3 linked regions of the Arabidopsis thaliana genome follow. The main gene of each other region encodes a partner of the protein of the gene in region 3 in a complex. Each region holds a gene or a part of one and is shown on either strand. Other genes may lie near its edges. The genes, in order: AT3G24880, AT4G37280 and HAM1.

Region 1 (3,754 bases), on a different chromosome or scaffold from region 3:
TGAAGCCTTTTCTCAGTCTCGGAACTTTTCTCCTTAGTTTGCATCTCAGCTGTACTTCTGTGACTTTGATTTTCAATTTTAACCGATTTCATCTGCATTTCACATTCAGGAATGCACTCACTGATAATGGTGGTAGATTGACCTGTCTCATCTTCAATCTTAGTTTTGGTCATTTCACCAACTGTTTGATCTAGTAACCCCTCTACTCTCAAAGTCTTCTGCATAGAGATTTCATCAGAGTCAAGTTTGTCCACTTTATAAAGATCTCTTTCATTATCTACATTTACTTCTACGTTGTTCGCATGAGAAGACTCTGACTCTAACCCATTAGTCCCTGTAGCTCCTCTATTTGTTAAGCTTTCTTCCTCTACCGTGGAATCTCTTAGGCCATTCAGTTGGGTAGAACTATTTTTCTGGCCAGCTATTGTTGCAGCTTTGGGAGAACCACCAGTCGAAACTAGTTGTGCCTTCTCCCCAGCAAGGCCAGACTCTCCAACTGGCAAATATGCAGAGCTTTTACTATACGAAATGTCGGCTTCATCTTTCAATAGACTAGTCTTGGATCCAGCAGTACTCTCTCGTACAACAGGTTCACCATCCACCTTAGTATTCAGCGAATTGCTGGAAACTCTATTTTTCGGAACGATATTACCATTTGAATTTGCAAATACTGGACAAGATACAGAAGTTGTATGCATATCCTTTTGATTGGCTGCTTCGGGAATGCAACCCTTTCCTTCCACTGATCCTCTGCGAATAGATATAGACGTTGCAAGACCACCACGATTCTGAACTAAATCCGTAGAGCTTGACCGTGCTGGATCCCGACTTATCTTCGATCTGTTCCTCCGAGCATACGGGCGAAAGATGGCAGAATCTTCTGTTTCTTTGGTATTCTGGTTGGTGTGTGCTTTGGAAGATCGTTCTGACTCAGAAGTTCTGTTTTGCCTATTAGGATGTCTCAAATTTCTTTCCCCTTCAACTGACTTGTTTTCAGAATCAAACAGTAAAAGATTATCTGCTGTATTGGGTTCAGAAATTGTAGGAACTCCAGGTCTACCGCTACTCTCCACCGAGTCACCATGTGGTGAGGCAGTCAGGGCAAAACTATCTTTGACTTCACTGTGGGGGTTATGGGCAAATAATGATGAGTTATTCCATGAAATTAATGTGGGAACTACACCAAACACGAATGTACCTGTTTACAAAATGCTCTGCTTGCTGATCTGTGAGTGATGTAGATTGGACGCTATGTGAAGTTGCAATACCAAACTTGAAATCCAAGGGATTACCGCCCTGAAGCAGATAGAAGAGTAAAGGCTTGTCATCATAAGTTCTTACACACACACACACAAAACAATTATAGAACAGGGAAATAGGTATTCATACTTTCTCTAGAAACTCCAATTCTCTCCTCCTTTCCTCACGAACATCATACTCTTGCCTGTTGAAATAAGCATCTTTGTTACACATTGGAAATAATAGAAAGCTGTAGAAATTATAGAGCATTTAAACACACTGCAGAAGATCAAGATGTCTCAATCTGAAATACCTTAGCTCCGCTTGAGCCTTCTCAATAGCTGTTCGGCGCGGAGATGTTTTAACACCAATACCACCTCCACTATCGATAACTCCTCCCATGGAATCAACCTCAGCATTTACTAGAAGATATCCTGAAACGCTTCCATGCATCACCACGTCGAATACCCCATCAATTCGAATTCTAGCTTAACTGAAAAATTATATCAAGAGCTTTCAGTATTTACAGCATTCCGAATGATCATACTGCAGAAGTTAGAATCAGTTACACCTAAATGTTGGACCTACAAATAACACTGGTAAAATGTATGTTCTCATGATGCAAAAAGCAGTACCATATGATATCATATAATAGAGTAGCTTATCAGATTCAAGATGTAACTGCTCAGAAGATGTCAAAAGTAAAACAACATTCACTCATATACTCTAGCCACTATCCAAAGGAACATCAAAGTGAAGATAACTCCCCAGAATCTAGTATTTGACTGAGAATTCTATATATCTAACGCCAATACCATTCTGATCCCCGAGAAGCTCACAACTACGTATTCCAGCATAACAGAGATAGAATAGAACTCTAAGATACCAAAGAAATGAAATGTTGCCTCAAGGCAGAGAGGTTCTAGAAGCTTAATCCAACACTAACAACGATTACTAGGAACCAAAGTTAGAAAATGATCAGCTTAAGCTACTTAATGGCGTGCCTACGAACTCTTGAATCAAGTATTGAGCATTTCCAAGCTAAACGAGTAGAAACAAAGAACTACAGAGACACAATTTCAGCAAACAATTCACATTCCTGATAAAAGAAGCACTGGGTTCAAAATCACAGAAGCTCCAGCAAAGCTGGACTCTAGGGTTTGAATAGAAGAGTGAAGGAGAAGAGAGTTAAACCTGGAAATTGAACGTAGAACAGAACAGAACGAAGGCAAAAAGCTAGGGCACAAAACTCGGGCAAAATCACCAAATTCTAAAATTAGTTTCTCTCTCCTAGGGCTTCCAAATTCTTATAAGCTTTTCTTTCAAATCGAAAGACGAGAATCAATTTCTCAGAGAGTAGAAGAGAAGAAGCTCCTCCCAAAACAAGGAATCCATGGAAATTGCTTGCTTGTTGCGAGATTGATTCCTAATTCAGCTATTTTTCGTTTTCAATTTTGGTTTCCCTCTCGGGAGATAAAAAAAAAAATTGAGTTCTCGTTGATGTTTTTTTTTCGTTCTTTCTCTCTCTCTCTCTCTCCTCGACGCAGTATGCGACTCTCTCTCTCTCTCTCCGAATTCTGGGCCTGAGATTTTGACCAAACAAGGCCTTTCTTTTTGTTTGCTTGGTCTTGTTTCGGGCCTTTTTGTAGTAATAAAGTTATAACAGTTTCATGTTGTGTGACATGGATCTCTACAAATCTCAGGCATGTCGCTGGTTTTGTAAAACTATATTTGTCCCACGTTGTCCATAGGCAATTCGGATCGAGTCCGGGTTTTTTGGGTTCGGGTTTAGAAATCTAAGAGACTAATACCAAATAAAACATATGAAAAAATATTAAACTTGAAATTTTCTATAATTTAATAATTTTATTAAACATAAGATAGTAACTTAATTTGTAAAAAGTTACAAATTACAAAATATTAAGAATGTAATACATTTAATCTTATTTTTTATCAAATAGAAATATTATATAAACGCATAAACTAATAAAATAAACTACTAATTTTTACTTTTAAAATAAAATTTAAACTATTTTTTTCTGTTTAGAATTTTCCTTACTAACAACTTCTAGTGGAAGTCTTCTCTCATATTTTCCATGGACATGACAATAGATTCTTTTCTTTTTGTGCAGCCTATTGCGTTGTTTAGTTCTAAGAATAATAATTTTATTAATTTATGAAACAACTTAAAAACAAAAATAAAACTCTTAAACATGAACAATTCCTCACAAATTCCTCAAGTATACCTCAACATGTAAATGATGTAACCATTTTAAATTCCTCAAAAACAATTTTACTATTTACAGCCAAAGTAAAAATTTCGAGTTGGAAAAAAAGAAGTAATTTTTTTTGCCTTCTGCAAAAAGGGAATTTTACTGCCGTCACTGCACAGTGTTGCCAGAAGAAGCTTCCTTCTCCGATACCAATTTTCCTACAACAAATGTCGAAAATGGCTTCAGTGAGTCTCCCTTCTCCCTTCTCAAACCGAACATGTTCTCTTTTTTCCTGGTTTTTC
Region 2 (3,754 bases), on a different chromosome or scaffold from region 3:
GGTTTTAAGTACTTTGTTTGTATTATTCAATAATTGGTTATTAAACTAAGTTAATAATTTCAAAATAGTGATTTCACCTTAAAATATGGGAAAGAGTTTCCTGATGCTCTGGAATTTGGTTTCTTTGTCTTATACTCTAACTGCGGATAAAAAGGAGCGATTTTGCTATAAAAAGGAACAGTTTGAGATGATATTACACTTTATTCCGGTAAATTATTTGGCTACCATCAATAATATATTCTTCAAAACTATCAATCTTCCTTTTTTTTTAGAAAATAAATAAATTTCATCACAACTCTGTTTGAAAAATCGTTTATGAACTTGAGACGGAAAAATTATCATAATTCAACGTCATATAGCAGCAAGAGTTGAAATAAAAATTAATGGTTTTGTCTTTTCATAGGATAGATTTCTTATTTCTACCTAACAAAAACTAAAATTTGGATGTTGAATTTTGAGTAGTATAAAGTTTGGTTGTTCAATGTTTTTTGCAAGAAAAATCACGTGAGAAGGAACTATTTTTGGTCGTGCAAGAAAAATAACACCAAAGTGTTTGAACTTTTGAAGCATTGATGATTAGGTTTGGTGTATCTAACAATATTATAAAACAAACACATGAGATCCGACTCATAGTCAATTTAGCTTATGTCACTCCTTAAATCAGCTGGTTTAACCGAACCAGAAACCCTAACCAAATTTTTAAAAAAAATTCAAGTTATCTGATTTTAAATTTATTTTCTATATATAAAAAATTTGGCTGAAAGTTGAAACGAAACCAAAGCTAGAGATGTACATTTTCTAGTAAAGTAAAATAAAGTAAACAAATTCAATCTGAAACCAACAATATACCATAATATACTTACGAAAACCAAATCTAAACCGGCTAACGATATATGTGAGTGTGACTTTATATACGTTGCGAGTTTGAAATTCAAGCATTATTTTTGGTCTACACAACTACAAATCTACCTTAATATTTAGCTGCCGTCTGCTCCAAACAATGAAACTTCATGTTTGGTCTACGATATTAAATTCTTTATTTCTAATATTCAATTCCTTATCCTTTTCTTCATTGATGGCTTTCACTATTTTGTGTTCAATAAATACACACAAAATTGAATGCTCAAGAAACAAGTTGGTATTTTCCCAGGAAGCAGCATACTAACTAATTTCAATGATCACATTCTTTTCAATTCAAACTTAGTCAAGAATAAAAATTCAAACTTTGCATCTCCACGAACACTACTATATAGTCACATTCTCAACTCACAAAACACTCACAACAAAATTCATTATCTGCCAAAGAGAAAGAAAACCATATTTTTTATAAACAGAGTTAAATTGTTCTTAAACATGATGATGAACAAAAACGTTCTGAGTTCGATTCTGTTCTTCATGTTGATTGGTTCGGTTCTTGTCGAGAGTCGTCCGCTTGGTCTAACAAAGACCGAGGAGAAGTTCGTGGCTAGTTTATTCGATGGCTTATCACTTGGTTCGATCAAAGACTCAGGTCCAAGTCCAGGCGAGGGTCATAAGGTCGTGGACAGGAAGGATACGTTTCGATTTGTTAAGCACTCAGGTCCAAGCCCAAGCGGACCGGGCCACTAATGTTTCAATCTTTAGTTCAAACCGGGCCGGTTAAAGTGCCCATACCCATCTAGGTCGAGAAAATTATTTCATTTTTTTGTTCCAGTTTCATTAGTGGAAAATATTATACATGTCTCATGTTTCTGATCGATACATAGGAAGAAGAATGGCAAAAACAATAATTATTGTCTCATTTTTCTATATTTAGGATTATTGTTTTGTTAGTGAAATAAAGTTACTTGAAAAGTATACAAATAAAATGTATTAATCAATTTTTTTATATTTATTTGAATGTAATAATAGTTAATAAACATCAGTGTCCAAAGTGAAATATGAGTCCAACTGCTCAACGACCAATAAAGGCATAAATTTTTTTAAAAAGACAATGCTTTATAAATGGGCGACGAGTATATTTAAAAGGTTTAAGAGATTTAATCGAACTATTGTGAAAGTTAAGGGACTCAATTGAAAAACTATTCGCAACGATTCAGTCATTCAGCAGTTGTCGTAGATTCATTTATCTAGACGGTTAAAGGGGTGCCTTGTGATGTGAAGATCTTTGCCTCTCGCTCTCGCTTTCGGTGACAATGGGAAGCTCGTCGAAGGAAGAGACGGCGAGTGACGGAGATACGGCGAGCGGTGGCGCCTCACCGTCCAACGACGGCAGACTCTTCTCGGAGGGCGAGCGTGTTCTCGCTTACCATGGTCCTCGCGTCTACGGAGCCAAGGCAAATAAAAAACCTCTCTCTCTCTCTCTCTTTCTCTGTGCATCGTCAGATGTTCGCATAATTTGAATTCTAGAGATTATCTTGTTCGTGTTAATTTAGCAATTCTTGTATTTCACGTGGGTTTTGGTTGTATCCGACTACGGAATTAACTGGTTTCATTGAATTGAGATCTCTCTGCTAGATTTGGCTTAGGGGTTTCTTGGTAGATTTCGGTTTCAAGTTACGACGATCCGAAAGATGAACCCATTGAGATTGGATTCGAGTTTTCTTTTTTTGGTAATGGATTCATGTAGCATTAGAGCTTTTTAGATTGGAATGATCATAAATGCTTAGTCGTAATAGATGCAAAAGAATAATTCACTTGCCGTTGGAGCAAGGAATTCAATAAATTACTCGGAAAATAGGGCAAGCTAATCTACTTGCATGTTTATTTTTTCAATCATATATTATATAGGTCACTGGATTGAGTCTCATTCATATCAAATGTGTGTCGTTGTTATGCTAAATCTTCATAGTTTTGAAAAAAATCTGTTATTGCATAGTGTTTTCAGTGTGTGGGCAGACCTGATAGATTATTGACATTCCATTACAGGTTCAAAAGGTCGAGCTTCGGAAAAAGGAGTGGAAATACTTTGTGCACTATCTTGTGAGGCCTCCTTCTTCTGAGCTATTATAGTTTCATTATCCTGTTTCATGTACTAGCTATTTTCATTTTGGTTTGCAGTAATAAGTGATACAGCGATCTTTGTCTGCAGGGTTGGAACAAAAAGTGAGTATCTCTCTCTGCTCTCATGTCGATTCTGGTTTATGTAGCAAAATCAGTAGATTGGGACCCATGACATGATTGTCTTGCCAACAGTTGGGATGAATGGGTTAGTGCGGATAGATTGTTGAAACATACCGAGGAGAATCTTGTCAAACAGAAAGCTCTAGACAAAAAGCAAGGAGTTGAAAAAGGTACCAAGTCTGGCCGTTCCGCTCAGACAAAAACTAGAAGCTCTGCAGGTGAGTTGTTGCCTCCACATTGACCATGCTGAGAGTACATGATACATATTTTGGTCATCCAGGCTAAGAAACTAACTATTTCTTTCTGATCTTGCACTTGCAGACACAAAGGCTGATAAAGATGACACCAAGACCAATGGTAGGCAACATATTAATTTACGCTCCCTTTGTAGTTCAGGGTTCTCCCAACAATTTCCAAGGAAATGATTTGGTAGACTGGGTGCAACTTAAATTATTTAAGCTGGTGTATAGATGATTACATTTTCTGTTGCAGCTGCAAAAGGGAAGAAACGAAAGCACGAGTCAGGCAATGAGGTCAGGCTTGCAAAAACTTAGAGATGTATTTGGTTCATACCTGTTAGGTCTTTGTTAAGATTATATTTTACAGTACAATAGATGGCTGATGTGTTGTTATGCATATACACACATACGAA
Region 3 (3,754 bases):
ACAGAAATTGCATTTTTTTCATCAGACAATCAAATTGAAACAGAACATGTATATAACAGACCCAAGAGCCAAAGTGTGCTGATACCTTTGAAAAGTATCCAACCATGTGGCATCCACGATCATCACATTCACAGAGAATATAGAACAGGAACAAATCAACGTCATAGTAAAGAGTTTTGTGGTCAAGAAATAACTTTGCCAGATAACAGAGGTTCTGTGCATAGACCTTATTCTTCTTGCCATCCACCTGTAAGATATTACAAATAAACTCCCAGGTCGTGAAAATTCAATTCTAAATACATTTATTAGCTTCCAAACAAGTATCGTAAGCCTAAAGCAAACAGTTTAAGGATGAAAACATCAATCTATTACCTCAAACATTGACAAAGTAGAGCTTCGATAGATTTCATCCCCAGGGGGGTGCTTCAAATCGCATTTCCTCTGCATAGATAAAAGACGATTGAGCAAAACTTAAGTAAAAAGAATGACCCATAAAAGGTATGTGTGAAACTAAAAATAACTGTAAAGACAAAACAATTAAAATGCTACAAATGATAAAAAAAACAGTTGCTCACCATATGTCTTTGAAGCTGCTCTTTGCGCTTCATAAAACTGAGGCAAAACTCACAGAAAAAGAGCTTCACGCAGTCATTGTATTCTGGAGGAAAAGGAGAGAAGTACCACGTCTCAATCTCATACTTCCCAAGCTCAATCGTAGCTATGTTCTTCACTTTCGTGAACTCCTCGTGTTCACGCAAACTGGCAGCATCCAGCTCTTCATGACCCTATACAAAATATCGAAAAACATCAGAATATATAGCATGCCACACAGTTCACTAAAACCACAACAAAGTTTAACTAACTTAACCAATCACTTTACCTCTACATGAGTCTCATCAATCTTCCGTTTCTGGTGTCGTGTCATCTTCAAGCTAGTCACCTATTACCACAAACAAACTTCTATGTTTCAGTGCAAACTACGGAGAGGAAAGCTCAAGACTTTGAAGAAAAATGGCTAATACCTTGTCTTCAACTTTTTCATCTAAAGCACACTCTACTGAATCAAGGTCAAGCTGTTCAAGCTTAATCCATTCATCCAATCTTCTATTAACTGCAGTTTCACAAGAGTTGTGATACTCAAAACAACTTGAATTGCAAAGCCCTCTAATTCAATTCTTCGAAATTTCAGCTCCAATCTATAAACCCTAGATTCACAAATTTCAGATAGAGAAAGGAGGAAACGACATACACTCTGTGTAATGAACGTAGTACTCGTAATCATTGTGACCACCATTATAATTCTTTCGGCGCTCGATAACCTTCACCGGATGGTATTTTCCGTCTCTCCATTGACACATCACGCGAGTACCAACCTCGAGCGGAAGCACCCCCATTCTTCTCTTCTTCGAAGCATCCGATTCTGAATTCGTGAGAGCGAGTATCGCACCAGAAGTATGATTCTGATTCGCATCTCCGCCGTTGGTTGCCGGATTATTATGGTTCGACGCCGGTGTGGCGATTATCATCGCCGTCTCTGTATCCGCAGACGATCCCATTTCTTTAGTCGGGTCGGAGATTTTTTCCGGGTGGATTCTTTTCTCATACGGATAAAGAACATCATTTGGAAGGAGTGTGGCCCAATAACAACTTTGAATGCTCAATTGGGCCTATCTTTATAATTGGCCTGTACTATATGTCTCTCTTACCGTCCTTTTTTTTTGGGTGCAAAAAATCTCTTACCGTCGTTAATACACGTTTTATAACTGTTGGCTTATGTTTAGTTTTATAATCGCCAGGTTACATTTAAAGAATGATTAGTAGGAGCAAACAATTTATAAAAACTAAAGAGATAATGAGAGATAAATAATAAGTGACAGAGTCAGTATTTTGTCGTGAATGGGAAACAGCCAAACAAGGCTTTATGATTCGTACTAATCACAAGATTCACAGATCAAAAAATCACAAAGTTCCAAGAAGCAAAGACGAAAAACACAACTCATCATCGTGTCCTTGAAGTTATGGTCATAGATTCGCACACCATGTTCCTCTAGATTAACCAAAATGATTTTTTATGAACAAAAAAGATTCACATGGTCACTTTACTGTATCTTGTATGTGAAATTTTACATCTCATTTTTCTTAAAGAATGTTTTACTTTTACATACTATCAATTTACTTTTATTTTTCGGTTATGAATTGAAGTGGATGACTTACTTACTTTTGAAATTCGAATGAAGAAAAATAGAATTGATTCCTATTTCAGTTGTTCACATGTAAACACGTTATATACTTATATGGCAACTTGACTAAAGGGAAAATTTAAATAAAATGATTTAATTTGGTGACATATATTCATCTTTCTAATTTTTGTAGCTACTACACACCGTGTATCCTTTTTCATAATAATGATGTGAAATTGTATAATTGTAAGAAAAAATGAGAAAAGAGTGACGAAATCTTTAAAACAGACAGAATTTTTTTGGTTGAGCAAACAAAACTTAGTTATCAAATTTTGGAAATAACGTGTTGAAGTGGCTGATTCTTTTACCTACAATGATTGATTCATCGACAAATATCTTGTTCGTATATCATCAATTCTAAATTCTTCAAAAATAAAGTAAAGATACTCAAATGTAATGAAATGACGAAGCTGGAAAAACGTATTTTAATTTAATTCATTATTTGACCAACAATTTGCATCATGTGAATTTAAATCTTGATAGGTCAATATTAGTATAAACTACCACACTACATGCGAAAATCATTCCTCATTTAGTGCAATTACAAATGATAAACGGAAACGTTATCATTTGTATTTATTTTGTAAAATATGTAATTCAAGAAACTGCTCAGAATATAAAGACAAGAATCCTCTTTCTTCCATCTCTATCTCTCCGTAAACAGTTGCTCAAAACCTTCTTCCTGAAATGGCTTCTTCTCTCATCTTCCTCCTCCTCGTTACCCTAACCTTTTCAGCATCAACCCTAATCTCAGCCAAATCCAACACAACAACAATAATCGAATCAACTTGCAAAACCACAAACTACTACAAATTCTGCGTCTCAGCTCTCAAATCCGACCCAAGAAGTCCCACAGCCGACACAAAAGGTCTCGCCTCCATTATGGTCGGCGTTGGTATGACAAACGCCACCTCCACCGCAAATTACATCGCTGGAAACCTATCCGCCACCGTAAAAGACACCGTTCTCAAAAAGGTCTTACAAGATTGCTCCGAGAAGTATGCTCTCGCCGCTGATTCTCTCCGGCTGACGATTCAAGATCTTGATGATGAAGCTTATGACTATGCCTCCATGCATGTGTTGGCGGCGCAGGATTATCCTAATGTTTGCCGGAATATTTTTAGGCGGGTTAAAGGGTTGGCTTATCCGGTGGAGATTCGCCGGCGTGAAGCTAGTCTGAGACGTATTTGTGGTGTTGTCTCCGGGATTCTTGATCGCCTTGTTGAATGATTTACATTTGCATTAACTACTTTCGTAAAATCTCTATTTAAATTATCGTATTTCATGAATTTAATATGACCGTTACTTTATTACTTTCGTCTTTGCTACAACTTTCAAATTGCCAAGAAGAACAATCTTTAGAGATCACCTGAATATTTGGAATTTAATATTTCTCAATCAATTGACTAATCATACCAAAAATTTTAAGTGACGAAGATTTGGGGGAAAAGGCTTCTTAAGAAATGGGAAGTACTAGAGATATTTGTATATTCGTTATATATCTTTAGGTAACT

Evidence for each region.
Region 1: HAM1 (region 3) and AT3G24880 share a complex: the UniProt entries of both Arabidopsis thaliana proteins name them as parts of the nuA4 histone acetyltransferase complex.
Region 2: HAM1 (region 3) and AT4G37280 share a complex: the UniProt entries of both Arabidopsis thaliana proteins name them as parts of the nuA4 histone acetyltransferase complex.

Annotation. Positions count from the first base shown.
Region 1 is NC_003074.8:9,093,846-9,097,599, forward strand, and holds the start of AT3G24880 (Helicase/SANT-associated, DNA binding protein), read right to left. Parts: upstream 1,693-3,754; coding exon 1,553-1,692; intron 1,445-1,552; coding exon 1,390-1,444; intron 1,297-1,389; coding exon 1,199-1,296; intron 1,123-1,198; coding exon 1-1,122. UniProt on the Arabidopsis thaliana protein: Component of the NuA4 histone acetyltransferase complex which is involved in transcriptional activation of selected genes principally by acetylation of nucleosomal histone H4 and H2A.
Region 2 is NC_003075.7:17,547,783-17,551,536, reverse strand, and holds the start of AT4G37280 (MRG family protein), read left to right. Parts: upstream 1-1,977; 5' UTR 1,978-2,174; coding exon 2,175-2,315; intron 2,316-2,907; coding exon 2,908-2,961; intron 2,962-3,070; coding exon 3,071-3,084; intron 3,085-3,174; coding exon 3,175-3,320; intron 3,321-3,423; coding exon 3,424-3,459; intron 3,460-3,594; coding exon 3,595-3,635; intron 3,636-3,754. Other genes in the region: AT4G37290 (uncharacterized protein), read left to right, coding at 1,354-1,608. UniProt on the Arabidopsis thaliana protein: Chromatin remodeling factor. Acts as a 'reader' protein by binding to H3K36me3 and H3K36me3 to control histone H4 acetylation. Increases the transcriptional levels of the flowering time genes FLC and FT.
Region 3 is NC_003076.8:25,828,948-25,832,701, forward strand, and holds the start of HAM1 (histone acetyltransferase of the MYST family 1), read right to left. Parts: upstream 1,723-3,754; 5' UTR 1,557-1,722; coding exon 1,250-1,556; intron 1,112-1,249; coding exon 1,023-1,111; intron 941-1,022; coding exon 881-940; intron 786-880; coding exon 576-785; intron 442-575; coding exon 373-441; intron 248-372; coding exon 86-247; intron 1-85. Other genes in the region: C/VIF2 (cell wall / vacuolar inhibitor of fructosidase 2), read left to right, coding at 2,928-3,470. UniProt on the Arabidopsis thaliana protein: Histone acetyltransferase which may be involved in transcriptional activation. Acetylates 'Lys-5' of histone H4 (H4K5ac). Essential for gametophyte development. Involved in DNA repair after UV-B exposure.